Elephas maximus indicus: one gene and its partner. The protein of the gene in region 1 purifies or fractionates together with the protein of each later gene. This does not show direct contact. Links are inferred from orthologs where the notes say so. Each region holds a gene or a part of one and is shown on either strand. Other genes may lie near its edges.

Region 1 (7,118 bases):
TACAGCTAAAGAAGTAAAGTCAAGAGGAGGACAAGGATGAAAGACAAATGGGGTTACTCAGAGGCTTAGGGGAGCTGAACCTTGCAGAAAAGCCAAACTATGAACTTCTGATGCCAGAAGCAATGCCCTCCCTCCTGCCACAGGGGCACAACTCCACTTTCCCACATCTAGTGGTTATTTTTATGGATGGATTTATTTTTACCCATTCTAGACCTCAGCTCCAAACCTGCTGCTGGAAGCAACAAGGCACTGAGGCTTCTGGGTTTCCAGAAAGCACAGGCTTCAGTGGCTGGCTCACCTCCAGAAATCAGGCTTAAGTCACCCCTGGAGTCACCTTGTCCTACCACCCAAATCCCTCTCTCCTGTCTTCATGGAGGCTGGGGTGGGAATGGAACAGGGGAATTTCTCTTTTCTCACCCCACAACCCCCCAGGCAGAGAAGGGAAAGCAGTGGGCTCTGAGAAAAGGGAAGACCTACAACAACCATGCTGTTGTTGTTAGCTGCCATCAAGTCAACTCTGACCCGTGGCGACCCCGTGCATGCAGATTAGAATTGTGCTTCACAGGGTTTTCAAGGCTGTGATGTTTTGAGAGTAGATTGCCAGGCCTTACTTCAGAGGTACCTCTGGTGGGTTTGAACCATTAACCTTTTGGTTGGTAGTCCAGTGTACCACCTAGGGACTCCTTCCAACTACCTTAGAAGTCACAACCTGGGCTCATCCATGAAACCTAGCCAGAGGAGGTGGGACAGACATTAGGCTTCTTTCAGCAGCGCCTGCCCTGCTGAGCCTGTCTCCCTGAAGCCCAGGGAATTTAAGAAAAGGCTATTGCCTTTCCAATAATGACCAGCTGTCACCTGGCATCACGTCCAGCCCCCACATGCCAGACAGCCAAAGCAGACTTCCCCTTTAGTGGAGCCATACATCTGGCCTGAATTATTATTCCCCCAAGAAAAGTTTATCGAAGAGTTAGGCAATGCCTCCACATACAGCCACTGAAGACAAGCTTAAAATATACTGTAATACATTTAAAGAGCCATTTCGGGGACTGGCTTTCTCATGATAAAGATGCAACCGACACTCACTGGGTGCTAAAATGTCAAGTTGTTGCAATCCAGCAGAGAACATAACAAGCCACTAAATGTGAAGCTCTGTTCAGCTGATTTCTTTCCATTCATTCCCTTGCCTCCCCCAACAATTGATTTTGGTTCGTGAAGTTGACGTTTTGGTGGGACCTACCAAAATCTGAGAAGGTGTCCTTTCTATCCCAACCATCAGTAAAAATGAGGAGAACTCACAAGGCCAGTGCCAAGTTCTTCCACCGAAATGCCCTGGAAGGATAGGACCAGAAAATTGGAGAGAGGGGTGGGGTGCAAATGAGAACAAAACCTCACCGTAGTGTCCTCTAAGTGCCTAGGAACAGGGCAGTGGTGGCCCAGAGGTAGAATTCTTGCCTTTCACAGGGGGAGACGCGGGTTAGATTTCTTACCACTCGTCTGTCAGTGGAGGCTTGTATGTTACTATGATGCTGAACAGGTTTCAGCAGAGCTGAACTAGACTAGGACAGACTAGGAAGAAAGGCCTGGTAATCTACTTCTGAAAATCAGCCAGGGGAACACTATGGATCACAATGATCCAATTTGCAACTAACCATGGGGATGGTGCAGGACTGGGAAGCATTTTATTCTGTTATGCATGAGGTCACCGTGAGTCAGGAGCAGACTTGACAGCAGCTAACAACAATGATAAGTGCCTAGGAGGGCAAGAACTTCAAATCCTAGGAAAAAAGAACTGCTTGAGAAAATCCCATGGATGGTTTCCATAGATGTTGTTGCTGTTAGGTGCTATCAAGTTGGTTCCGACTCACAGCAACCCTGTGCACAACAGAAAGAAACACTGCCCAATCCTGCGCCACCCTCACAATCATTGCTACGCTTGAGCCCATTTTTGCAGCCACTGTGTCACTCCATCTCATTGAGGGCCTTCCTCTTTGTAGCTGATCCTTTACTTTACCAAGCACGACGTCCTTCTCCAGGGACTGGTCCCTCCTGATAACATGTCCAAAATAACACGTCCATGAAATGAAGTCTTGCCATCCTCGTTTCTAAGGAGCGTTCTGGCTGGACTTCTTCCAAGACAGATTTGTTCGTGCTTTTGGCAGTCCGTGGTATATTCAATATTCTTTGCCAATACCATAATTTAAAGGCATCAATTTTTCTTCAGTCTTCCTTATTCATTATCCAGCTTTCATGTGTCTTTGAGGCAACTGAAAACACCATGGCGTGAATCAGGTGCACCTTAGTCTTCAAAGTGACCCCTTTGCTTTTTAACACTTTAAGGAGGTCTTTTGCGTCAGATTTGCCCAATGCAATGCATTGTTTGATTTCTTGACTGCTGTTTTCATGGGCTTTGATTGTGGATCCAAGTAAAACAAAATCCTTGACAACTTCAATATTTTCTGTTTATCATGATGTTGCTTATCGGTCCGGTTGTGAGGATTTTTCTTAGAAAATTGGGAAGGGTGCTGACTGGCAGAATCCAAACCCTTGGGTTTCATTCACAACTCTGTTTCTCCATGTGCACAGTGAAATGGCCAGAAGGCTCTGTGTTCTGGGGAAGGGAAGGCTGCAAAGGAGGACAGGTGTTGTGTGAGGTGTTGGGTTAGGATGTTTGGATTAAAGAGGCCTTCTCCCAAACCTCTGTTAAGAAGGTTGGGAAGTTGTAGTCAGTAACCTTCTTCACAGCAGAATTTGCAGCTATAACCTATGAGGTGTGGGTTAACCTGCCTCCCATAGTCATGTAAATGTGAGTGAGCTTGTGTGCTGAGGTGGGTGTGGGAATCTATCAGTCAATGAAGCCGTGTTGTGCGAACCAGCTGATGGTGCATGTTTGTACTTGAAAGCCATAAAGTTCTATGCAAAATCTATGGGTGGCACTGTTGCACAATGCTGGTGGGGGTGTGAGTTTGGCGGTGGGATTACCTTTGTAGGCTGTATGCGAGTGCGCATGGATGTCTGAAATGTGTGCCACAGGACTGCAGAAAAGTACATGGGCTTGGGAGTCAGCCTGATTTGGCCTTAACTCCTGGTTCTGTCATTAACTAGATGTGTAAACTTGGGCGAATCACTGGGTCCTTATTTTCCTCACCCACAAAATGAGAACAATAATAAATATCTTTCAAGATTGCCGTGAGGATTAGAAACCATACCACATATACAAAGCTTCTGGTGTCCTAGGTGGCACATCGTAGGACTCAGGGTAGGCAGCTATTATCACCCACCCTATATGGCCTCTGGTGCGTACAGAAGCAAGAGAGGGCAAAATGCCACCCAGGAATCTGTGTGTGAAATCTGGTGGAGAAGGTTTGTACCAAGGTGTGTACATAAACAAAGCTACACACACACACACACACAGAGTGCAATTCCTTCTTCCACTCCAGGAGTCCCTATTCAGAGGGGCGGGAGGGTGGGAGATAAAAGTCTCCGCAGATTCTTTGGGTTTCTAGGCTTCTGGGTCCCGAGTCTAAGCCAGTAAGAAGTTGAGAGGCTGGTAGGAGCTGCAGGAAGCCAACCGCCTGCAGAAGCTTCCTTTTTTTCCCTCCACCCAGCAACGGTTGAATACCGCCACCCATATCCACTCCCCACCTTCCCCCCCCACCCCCCCACCCCCGACTCTGCTTTCTTTTCAACAAGTGAGAGTAAGGGCGGGGAGGAAACCCGAGTGAGAAGGGGATTCCTCCGGTTCCCTTCCCCATTCCCCCTTAAGACACACCAGGAAGCAGCCGCAGCGCGCGGTCGGGCCACCTTAACAGCGGAGTGATGGTCTGGCCTGGCGCCAAGTCCCACCTCGGTTCCAGCTCCGGCTCCTCCCCTTGCTCCGCCCGCACTGCTCCGGGGAGCTGGTGAGCGAGGGTCTGGCCGGAGTTGGCAGGAGCTGTTGCCATGACAAGCATTTTCTTAAGAAAGCTCTGCTGTTGAGGCCATCCAAATCTAGGGACTGGGGGTGGGGGGGGCGCCAACTTCCTGGGGAACCATCCCTCCAAGGAGAGCAAGATCAAAGACACCCGCCCAGCTCTCCCGAACCCTTTTTCTTCCAGGGACCTGAGAGGTCTTTCCCTTTGGAAGGGCCGAGGAGGAAACCCAGCCCACTCCCCGGATCTGGCAAGAAAGGCCAGAAAGCAAAGCCAGCGTCGCTAGAGCGGTTGCCACAGTGGGGAGGCCGGCGGGTGGTCACCGTCACCCTATCCCGGTCCATGGTGACCCGGAGGGAGAGCCCCGCTCGGAGAAGCCCGGATCCTTGCTAGAAAGAGGTAGGCTTGCTTGGAATGAATTGACTCTTGATTTGCAAACTTTCTTTCTTTCTTTTGAATCGTTTTAAAACTCCCTGAATTTCTGCTTCCGAGCATATTTTATGTGACTGGGTTTGGAGATTTGGGGGGATTTTTTCCGTGTGTGCCTGTGAACAGATTTGTCAAATATTTCTTTCCTGGACTTGGTTCTGAGAAATCACATAATCAAACAAGTGATTTCTTTTGTTTTTCCTGGTTCTTGTCATTCCTGGGCTGTGGGGGTTAGGGAAACGACAGGACTGTTCTGACACCCAAATTGAGCTCTTAGAAAAGCATTTATTTCTCCCGTCCGTTCCTGTCCTCCGCCTCCCCCTTGGCTTGGGAATCAGACGCAGAATGGAAAACTGTTGCAAAAATATTTTCCGTGTCTGTTCTCTTTCTCGAAAGCCCCAAAGAGAGATGGAAAAAAAAAAAAAAAAAAAAAAGAACCAAGTAAGAAATCTTCAGCAGGAAGGAGGGGCTGCAGTGGGGACTGGAAAAGGGGTGCCCTGGGGGGGGGCTAAGAGAGGCGCACAATGGGAAGGGGGGTGCACAAAATAAATTTCTTTGGCTTTGCGGAGAAACCTCGGCGTTTTCTCTCTGCCTCTTGAAAACATCCTCAGACTTTCACGGCTATAATTAGCTGTGGAAAAAAGCTAGGAGTTCCCTAGTACCGCTGTTGTTTGAGTGTGTGCCAGCGTCGGGAACCAACTGTATGAGTGTGTCTGAAGGGCACCACCCCACACATCTCGGGTCCCAAAAGGGAGGAAGAAGGGGTGAAGTTGGAAAGTTTGCGATGTCAAGGCCGGTGACCTGGGGCTGGTGAGGGCTTGCCGTTTGGGGGTTGCCGAGAGGCATCCTCGGGGAAGTCGGGGTGGGGGGAGTCCCTGAAGCGTCTTGGGCCTCAGTGTTGTTTTGCTGAGGAGCTAGAAACTAAGGCCGGAATTGTCCCTCCTGCCCTTCGTTCTCACACACACACCACAGTCTCACACACTCACATCCTAGGCCCACTCCCGGCGGAGGATCCCGGCTGGCACCCTCCTTGCAGCGAGTCCAGCCTCACACGCGCCATCGCGCCAAGGCACCCACTGCTCTTCTCCAGCGGGATGTGGAGGGCCCGGGAGTGGCAGCGGCCGCCGCATCCTGGGAGAGGAGTGGGCACTCTGTTAGCCAGAGGCGCCTCCCTCCTGGGCATTCCTGCAGGACTTACAATAACTTGCAGACAAGATGCTGGCGCTGCTGGCCTAGTAGGGGGAATGTCAGATGAAGAAATAGGCGGGCACTCAACCGACGCCGCTGGGGGGAAGGGAAAAAGGGGTAGGGAGGGAGGGAAAATAAAATCCGGTTCCACAGCGCCATCTCCTCTTCTGGGTGGGGTGCCACTCTCTCTTTGAGCCCCTCCCCAGAGCGGCCCCTTCTCTCTGCCCTTCTCGTTTGGATGACCCCCCTCCAGCCCCTCACTTCTGGGCCTTCTTTACCTGGAAGGAAGAGATCAGGGGGGTATTCCAGGCTGGGACGGCGGTGGAGAGAGGCCTTGGGGTAGGGAAGGGCTGGATGGAGAGGACCTTAGGAGGAAGGGGGCTGGCAGAGGTGGTGGCTAGTGAGCCCACTGACCCTCCTTGGCTGTGGATGGTGGCTTCGGGGGGCTGGCTCTGGAGGGGTGGTGGCAGCTTGGTGGACAGGTGGTCTGGAAGGTGACTCCTGTCCCTGAAGCAGGCAAATCTGTGGGCAGCGGGCTGGGGGAGAGGAAACACCTGCCCTCAGCCCCAACTAGAGAAACTGGGGAGGAAGGAAGCAAAAGACCAGGAGAGCTTAAATGGGGGACAGGAAGCAACAGGAACCACTTTTCATTTTGAGGTGTTGGAGTATTGATCTGGCTGCACCCCAAGGCTAGATGGCTTCTCCCTGCCTGTGTTCTGTTCCAGAAGGTAATGAGGCCTTCTCCAGTGCTAAGAGGTCACAAGCCATAATCAGTGCCCTTCCTCTGTAGGAAGGGGGCCCAAGGAATCCATTTCTTTGCTACTTATCCAGGAGCCCCATCCTCCTTTCCACCATCTTGCTGAGGTGCAACCCCGAAATCAGGCCGCACCGTGCCCTTCCTTGTGCCCTTCAGTGTGCCCTTGCGTCTTGGGGGTACTGAATCTCACCATTCGGGCAGCAGGCCTATTTTCAGTATTCTGACTTGGAGCGGATCCTTTTGGGGGAGGGCTTCTGCCTGCAGGTTCCGATTTAGCGCCCACCTTGGCGCCAGCTCCACGACCTGGTGTCCTGGGTAGGGGGCAGCGGTGGAGCCTGCTCTCTGCAGCCCCAGCCGGTCTCGCGGGTGCTCCAGGGCAGGGATCGATACTGCAGCAAGCCCGCGGACCCCTCCCCTCTGGGCTGCCTCGCCGCCCCGCCTCGCCCCACCCCGCTCCGCCGTCAGCCTCTCCCGCAGCTCGGCTCCACCCTCCCCGGGTCTGCCGTAATCTAAGTACTCGGTGGAGAAGATGCTAGTGCTGCAGGAGCGGGGGTTTGCTGCCGTCCAGACCCTGCTAAGGCTCAGTCACTTCCCCTTCCACTTACCACCTCCGGTGCTTGGATTTGGAAACCCTGGTGGCGTAGTGATTAAGAGCTATGGCTGCTAACCCAGAAGTCAGCAGTTCAAAGCCACCAGCTGTTCCTTGGAAACCATGTGGGGCATTTCTACTCTGTCCTATAGTGTCACTATGAGTCCGAATTGACTCGACGGCAACGGGTATTTCGGTAGGGTCCTTGGATTCATGGAGCCCTGGTGGCACAGTGGTTAAGAGCTGG
Region 2 (8,017 bases), on another chromosome or scaffold:
GCTTGGTTTACACTCCTTCAATTTTAGCCTAAAGCTAAAACCTGTCTTAAGAGGGTTATTTTTCAGGCAATTTTCATCCTTTAAAATGAAGTACACTTTTGTTGATACATACAAAAATCAACAACTTAAATAAGGATTTTACTTGAAACTGTGGTCCTACAAGTCTAAACCGTCTGAATGGAAAACAAAATCTATACGAACGAAAGCACTGAATCTCTGTGGTAATGGTCAGAGACTCAGGATTTTGTCTTCTATTGCTTATTTCCATTCACCCAAAGAGGAGATGTACAATCAATAGCAAATATACCTCTAAAATGTACTCAGGGACACCGTGAAGGTCATCTAGTCCGAATTCTTCATTTTAGGAATAACGAAACAGAGGCTTTTTGGGAAAAATAAAAATCTATACTCAATCTAAACTACCAAATATCCAATCCAGAAACACCTAAATTCTTTTTCAAATCATCATTTTACATAGATAACCTAAAACTCCTAACATTTCACATGGTATCCATTTTCGAAGGACAGTAAGAAAATACAAACTCCATGACATGAGGTCAGACTATTAACAGTTGAAAACTTGAATCTTGTCAAAAAAAAAATGTTATAGAAAGCTCTAAAATGGCATCCTTATCTATACGAACGTATGAACCCAAACTCAAAAAGTAGCCATTTCTTCCCTGAATTAAATTTACATTCATTTCGGTCAATTACTGGCTCAGCTTCACTTCACCGGTCATGTCACGTGTCTGAATTTAAGCTCATTTCAAGGAAAAGGCTGTATGTACTATGTTGTATTTAGAACACACATCACTGAAAACAGCCAGAGGAGTTTAGGCCTATCCAAAAACCTTGCTTTAGTTGCTAAGAAACTATAATTTCACCGTACTATAAATCACTGAAAGAAGCTATGCCGGCAGAGATCAAACATGTTGAAATCAAGAATTTCCCACCTATTGTGCAAAACAAAACCATGTATTTCACAAATCAAATAGCTGAATTAGTATTAGGCTTCTTTAAGACATCCTGTTAGCACAGATGAAAAATAGTAAGACGTATCTTTTTTTTTTTTTTATCAGACTAACTCTGCCCTGCCTCCACAGCAGCCTTGTGCTTTGAAGGAAAGCAGGAAAAATACCTCATATACTTAGCATATTCAAGCCACAGACAGAAAAATAGTTCTTTTCTGACCCCTGCAGTGAGTAAACCAAAGCAATGAAGCACACAAGATATTTGATTAGTTCTATTTGGTAAAATGAACACTTTTATATTTAACCAATGATTTCACTGATATATTTTCATGGTACTCTTCAGCATTTTAAGCCCAGTTTCTCCTTAGAACGTTCGACTCCACTGGCTCTATCATCGATTTAAAAAAAAATAAAATAAAATGAAAATCATTTAAATTCCAGCTATTCTAACAGTAATTTTAAATTGTTCTAACACAACAATGAAAAAACACTGAAAGATTAGCAAAAATAATTATGGTTCATTCTCCAGTACTGACTTCTCATACATTCTTTCCTATAAAAATATTTTTTAAACCGCTTAATGGCTGTCTAGTCTCACCTGTGAAAGATCAAAGAAGCCGCTGAATTGTAACTCACGCCTTCAATCAGAATCTATTGCCTAGGTCCCCCATCACCACGATTCCCCACCATTTCTCCATCTTCTCCAAAGAGCTACATTTCAAAATTCAATTCTCTCTTTTCCACTGCACACATTACAAGGACTACTTTCATGCTCCTCGGAAATAATGTCTGTCTTGAAACTTTTCAGATCTCAAAAACCCACTTCCTCCACCACCCTCTGACCAGCCAACTGCCCTCAATCCCACCACTGCAGTTTCAGCGAAGTGTCCCTGCCGTCCCGGAGGCCCAACCAGTATCATACAGCACTTGCCACAAGCCAGCTCCTCCCTTCGCTCACATATCCTCCCCACTGCAAACCAACACTACACCCCCGGCTTCCTGCATTTTACTCCCTTCCCTTATTTTTTGTCTCTCCCCCCCCCCCATCTCTATACCCCGGCACCTTCAGGTCTCTAATAAATATTCCCCCTACTTTTTTTTTTTTTTCTACTTTAGTTTCAACCCTTTCTCCCCAACCTCTTTCCTCTCCTTATTTAGGAACCCCTTCCAACCACTACCCTAGAATGTCCAGCACTCCGCCCTTCTTAGCAAATCCAGCCCTCTCCCTCCCATGTCGCTTAAAGCCACCGCTGCTTTTCTTCCCAGGTCCTCTACTGCAGTCACCCCACTCCCTCAGCTTTCCACCCACCTTCCCTCCACCCCCATATCCAAGGTCCCCTGATTCTCTACCCCTCCTTAGGGCTCTAGTACTCTGCTCGCCCTCCCTTATTTTGAATCCTGTCAAGAGACTTACGAGCGTCAGGAGAGTCCTCGACGACCCCCGCTCCCGGGACCCCCGCTCCCGGGACCCCAGTTCTCTCGGGAAGCCTAACCGACACCCCCTCCCTTCGCCTGTGAACACAAATGCCTGTCTTCTGCCGCCTTATTTAAAAGCTGCGCCCCCTCCCCAGCCGCCCCCGCTACTCCGGCTCCTCACAGGGCTTCTTCGGTGTCCCCTCCCCGACGTGGAGCGACGAGCCCCACGATGCACAGGTCTAAGTCGGCAACACCTCGGGCTCATGTCGGACGCCCCCTCCCCTCGGACAGGCGCCTCCTGTCCGCACACAACGCCGACCGGCATCTCCTCTCCGACCCGCAGCCCTCAGGCTCTTCCCCTGGCTCCGCACCTCCTCCGGCCCCGGACGGGCCCTTCGCAGCCGCCGGCGCCCTCGGCCCCCGCCCGACCCGCCCCCGGCGCCCCGCTTACCGTTCTGAGCGGCGCCAGGCCCTGGGAGGAGGGAGCCGGAGACCAGCAACAGCGAGAGGGCCAGGGCGCTGGGGAGCGAGGAGCCCGACATTCTCCCTAGCAGCAGACGGAACAGCGAATAGGCCGGGGCCGGAGCCGGGGCCGGGGAAGGGAGGGGAGGGAGGGAGGGGGCGGGCAATTGCGCGAGGGAGTCAGCGAGGGAAGCAACCGCGGCTCGGCTCCGTCCTTCCCCGTCCTCCTCCAACCGCCGCAGCGCCCAAGCCTCGCGAGACCTTGGCGCCCGGCCGTGGGCGGCTGATGAGCGACGGCTGCAAGGATCGCGAGAAGAAACGGCCTCGACTAATGCTCCCGCCCTTTGGACTCCGCGCCCCGCCCCTGCAGAGGCTGATTGGCCTAGTGAGAGGTAGGTCACGTGCTGAGGGCGCGCGGCCACGTGACGAGGGGAGGCGGGGCTTCGCCCGCTGTCCTGGCGCAGAGAAAGCGAGAAGTTTGTGATCAGTTTAACCGGAGCGCTACGAAATAAGAGGTTGCTTTAGGAACACAATATATTTTCTGCACACATCGTGTCTTCCATTTGTTAGAGCTCTTGGCTACCAATCTGATCCGTTCGTGGTCCCCTGTGAGAGTCCTGCTATGTTTTGACCCTGAACTTTGAACACAGACGCCCTACTGGTATCTGGCCCCAACCTCTCTCGCATTTCGTGTTTTTCCCTTTCAGGCAAGGTGATGTGCTCCCTTTGCCCGGTATTATCTTGTGCTCTCCTGCCTCCACATCTGCTGCCTCTGCCTGAAATGGCCTCCTTTTCGGTCGTTTCCCATTCCTCCCCCCCACCCCCACCCGTCTATATTGGCTTTATTTTAGTTCATAGAATCTCAAGGCCCGAAGGGGTCTGAAAGTTCAACTAAACTAATTGCACGTCATAAACATTAAATTCTACAAGGAAGTTAAGTATTAACTTGTATGAGGACTCTTTAGAAGCGTTGTAATGCAACGGACATGTATTGACATGTGGAACCCAGATGAAAAGAGGGCCCCACCCTAACGGAGTTCAAACCTAGTCTATCGGAGGAGTGAACGAGGGGCAAATGACCGCGTAGCAAAACCACCCAAAGGAAAGGAGTCAGCAAAGCGCTCTGGAGGTTGATTTGTTAAGCGATCGCTACTGTTTCCCCTGAAGTTTGGGGAAAGCTCTTCATATGGGCAATTCTTGTATTACTTTCAGCGTGCTCGGTCCCTGATTGGCAAAGGAGTTTCTGTGGCTTAGTTCATTCCTGACTCAGAGCAGGCATCTTGGGAGTGCCTGGAGTGAAACTGCGAGGGGCCAAATAAACAGTCATGAGGACCTGACTTGATTGAAAGAGAGAGCTTGGGAACCTGGAGGAAGGAGTGCTCGCTGTGGGCCCTGCAGTCTCTCTCAAGTCAAAGTGGTCTGGAGTATTCAACAGGAACTAGATAGCTGGACATTTTTAAATGAGCTTTCTAGCAAGGGCCAGGACAATTATACTGTTTTGTTGATTAAGTGAAAACTATATGCTTCAAGACCCCAGGTGTGTGAGTAAGAGGTGGGCATGTATCTTTGGACAAAGGCTAGTCCACAAACAGCCCTGTACAGAGAACTACAGGGCTGGTGGTAACAGGACCCAGATTTTCATTTGATGAAAACTTTGGCTGGGTGCAACCACAATGACCACAGCAAACATCCCTATTTGATCCTTATAACAAAAGTAGAGGGTGAGCAAAGCAGGGATTGTTGTGCTCATTTTGTGGGTAAGGAAACTGAGGTCGAGAGAGGATATGACCTGCCCAGGGTCACAGAGTGTTTGTGGTAATCGTGAATGGCAAATAGTTTTGTTTGCATCCTTCTAGGCTCATGGTAAGATTTCTTTGCCCCTTCGAAGTTGGGAGGGGCATGTGACTTGCTCTGGTCAATGAAATGTGAGAAGGAACATGCAACACTTTCACGAGAAAGCTTTTCACTTCCAGTGCAGACACTAGCATGCTCTTTTGCCTGCATGGTGATCAGTGAAAGCGAGGGTGAAAACACGTGTGAAAATGAAGCTCATGATGAGTTGGAGAGGGACGCTGGTGAGGAGTGAGCTTCTTGGATCAGGTGGACACTTGAGACTATGTTGGCATCTCCTGCCTGGAGGGGAGATGAGAGGGTGGAGGGGGTTAGAAGCTGGCGAAATGGACATGAAAAAGAGAGAGTGGAGGGAGAGAGCAGGCTGTCTCATTAGGGGGAGAGTAATTGGGAGGGTGTGGCAAGGTGTATATGGGTTTTTGCGTGAGAGACTGACTTGATTTGTAAACTTTCAGTTAAAACACAATAAAAATTATTTAAAAAAAAAATGAAGCTTATGTCATTGGGGATTCCTGAGTTAGCACAGTGAGCCAAGCCTTCTGCCAACCCACATTAGAGAGGTACCACTGTAGAGTTGCTGTGAGTCAGATTCAACTCAATGGCAACGGGTTGGGTTTTTTGGTTTGGTTTGTTGAATTAAGCAGAGATATAGGGATATTTGCTCTGATTGCATAACCTGTACTATTCTGGTTAGGGGAAAAATGAAACCCAAGTTACATAAACACACCACTGCCACCACCTTCTACTAGCTGGGTGATCTTGGGCAAGTGACCTCATCTCCCTGGACCTAATTTTAATTATCTGTCAAATGGGACAAATGATAGTACCTACCTCATAAGATTGTAAGTGGAATAAAAAACCAAAACCAAACCTGTTGCTGTTGAGTCAATTCTGACTCATAGCAACCCTATAGGACAGAGTAGAACTGCCCTGTAGGGTTTTCAAGGAGCAGCTGGTAAATTCGAACTGTTTTTGGTTAGTAGCCAAGCTCTTAACCACTGCACCGCCAGGGCTCCCATAAGTGGAATAGATGAGTGAATTTATGTACAGTGTTTAGAACAGTGTCTGGTACATAGAAAACACTCAAATGTTGATGATGGTGATAAATACCATTACTACTGCTGCTGCTACAGTTCTCACCCCAGCCCTATGTCCTATCGACTACTTGATGCATCTTCCAAAAATGATTTGGGAAGAACTTTTGAAGCACAGGTGTTACCAACAAACTCTCAGAGCCTGCAGTCATGACCAACCCTTTTTACCCATGGAGAAGATGTTATCAAACCCCGTGTTACAGTAGTTGTACTTTAAGTACCCTTTTGTTGGAAAAAAAAAATACATGATTAAATAAAACTTTCCAATAATTCAGTTATTTCTTTATAAAGGAATTTGGATTTTTTTTTCTTTTAATATTTACATACACTTAAAAATCTCTGTGGTCCAATACTGGGGAAACCAGCACGACTAGTTCAAGGCAAGGTCACAGAAGCTCCATAGATACATCCAAACTCCCTGAGGGACTGAATTGCTAGGCCGAGGGCTGTGGGGACCATGGTCTCGGAGAATATCTAGCTCAATTGGCATAACATAGTTTATAAAGAAAATGTTCTACATTCTACTTTGGTGGATAGCATCTGGGATCTTAAGAGCCTGTGAGACAACAGCCCAGGCACAAGGACTAGCAGGCAGAAGGGGACAGGAAAACTGGTAATAGTGAACCCAAGGTCAGAAGGGAGAGTGTTGACATGTTGTGAGTTTGTTAACCAATGTCATAAAACAGTATGTGTACTAGCTGTTTAATGAGAAATTAGTTTGTTCTGTAAACCTTCATCTAAAGTGCAATCAAAAAAAAAAAAAAGGAATCCACCCAACTGCTACTCTCCTAACTCCATTTACACTTTCCCTCGTGATAATATTGCTAGCATCTTTCCAATTCAATACATCTAACTGTACCTCTTTACTTTTTGAACCACTACTTTTCTTATTTAAAACAGAAAAAAATTCATCAATTCCAGGAATGAATATGAAGGTCTCTCAACTCAGTACTTGTTCAGAAGGTTATTTCTAATTTTTCCATATTAGAAACAATAATTTCTGTACTTAGGTTTTGCATACGGTATGTCTACAGGATAAATTCTAGATGTGGACTCAATAAATGACCTTTACATTTTGATAAATGATGTCAACCCACCCTCCAAAAAAAAAAAACCCCTGTGAGTGGCCGTCTAAGATACTCCACTGGTCTCACCCCTTCGGGAGCAAGGGAGAATGAAGAAAAGTAAAGATACAAGGGAAAGATCAGTCCAAAGGACTAACGCACCACAACTACCACAGCCCTCACCAGACTGAGTCCAGTACAACTAGACGGTGCCCAGCTACCACCACTGACTGTTCTGACAGGGATCACAGTAGAGGGTCCCGGGCAGAGCTGGAGAAAAATGTAGAACAAAATTCTAACTCACAAAAAAAGACCGGACTTACTGGCCTGACAGAGACTAGAGAAACCCCCGAGAGCATGGCCCCAGGCAACTGCCGCAGTATGACAGGAAACTGCCAGAAATTCAAGCCAGATTCAGAAGAAGACGAGGAACCAGGGATAGCATTGCTGATGTCAGATGGATCCTGGCTAAAAGCAGAGAATACCAGAAAGATGTTTACCTGTATTTTACTGACTATGCAAAGGAATCCGACTGTGTGGATTATAACAAATTATGGATAACATTTGGAGAACAGGAATTCCGGAACACTTAATTGTGCTCATGAGGAATCTGTACCTGGATCAAGAGGTAGCCGTTGAAACAGAACAAGGGGATACTACATGGTTTAAAGTCAGGGAAGGTGTGTATCAGGGTTGTATCCTTTCATCATACCTATTCAATCTGTATGCTGAGCAAATAATCCGAGAAGCTGGACTATGTGAAGAAGAACCAGGCATCAGGATTGGAGGAAGACTCATTAACAGCCTGCATTATGCAGATGATACAACATTGCTTGCTGAAAGTGAAGAGGACTTGAATCACTTACTGATGAAGATCGAAGACTACATACAGCCTTGAGTATGGATTACACCTCGACACAAAGAAAACAAAAATCGTCACAACTGGACCAATGAGCAACATCATGATAAACAGAGAAAAGATTGAGGTTGTCAAGGATTTCATTTTACTTGGATCCACAATCAATACCCATGGAAGCAGCAGTCAAGAAATCAAAAGATGCATTGCACTGGGCAAATCGGCTGCAAGAGATCTCTGTTGTTGTTGTTAGGTGCCAATAAGTCGGTTCTGACTCATAGCGACCCTATGAATGAAACACCG

The links.
Region 2: the proteins of ATP2B4 (region 1) and NPTN purify together in Homo sapiens (co-immunoprecipitation; 3 studies listed by BioGRID and IntAct, with this or other methods). This does not show direct contact. The link is inferred for Elephas maximus indicus from reciprocal best matches to the Homo sapiens genes ATP2B4 and NPTN.

The regions. Positions count from the first base shown.
Region 1 is NC_064836.1:12,759,443-12,766,560, forward strand, and holds the start of ATP2B4 (plasma membrane calcium-transporting ATPase 4), read left to right. Parts: upstream 1-3,889; 5' UTR 3,890-4,307; intron 4,308-7,118. UniProt on the Homo sapiens protein: Calcium/calmodulin-regulated and magnesium-dependent enzyme that catalyzes the hydrolysis of ATP coupled with the transport of calcium out of the cell. By regulating sperm cell calcium homeostasis, may play a role in sperm motility.
Region 2 is NC_064831.1:63,745,042-63,753,058, forward strand, and holds the start of NPTN (neuroplastin), read right to left. Parts: upstream 3,008-8,017; 5' UTR 2,930-3,007; coding exon 2,839-2,929; intron 1-2,838. UniProt on the Homo sapiens protein: Probable homophilic and heterophilic cell adhesion molecule involved in long term potentiation at hippocampal excitatory synapses through activation of p38MAPK. May also regulate neurite outgrowth by activating the FGFR1 signaling pathway.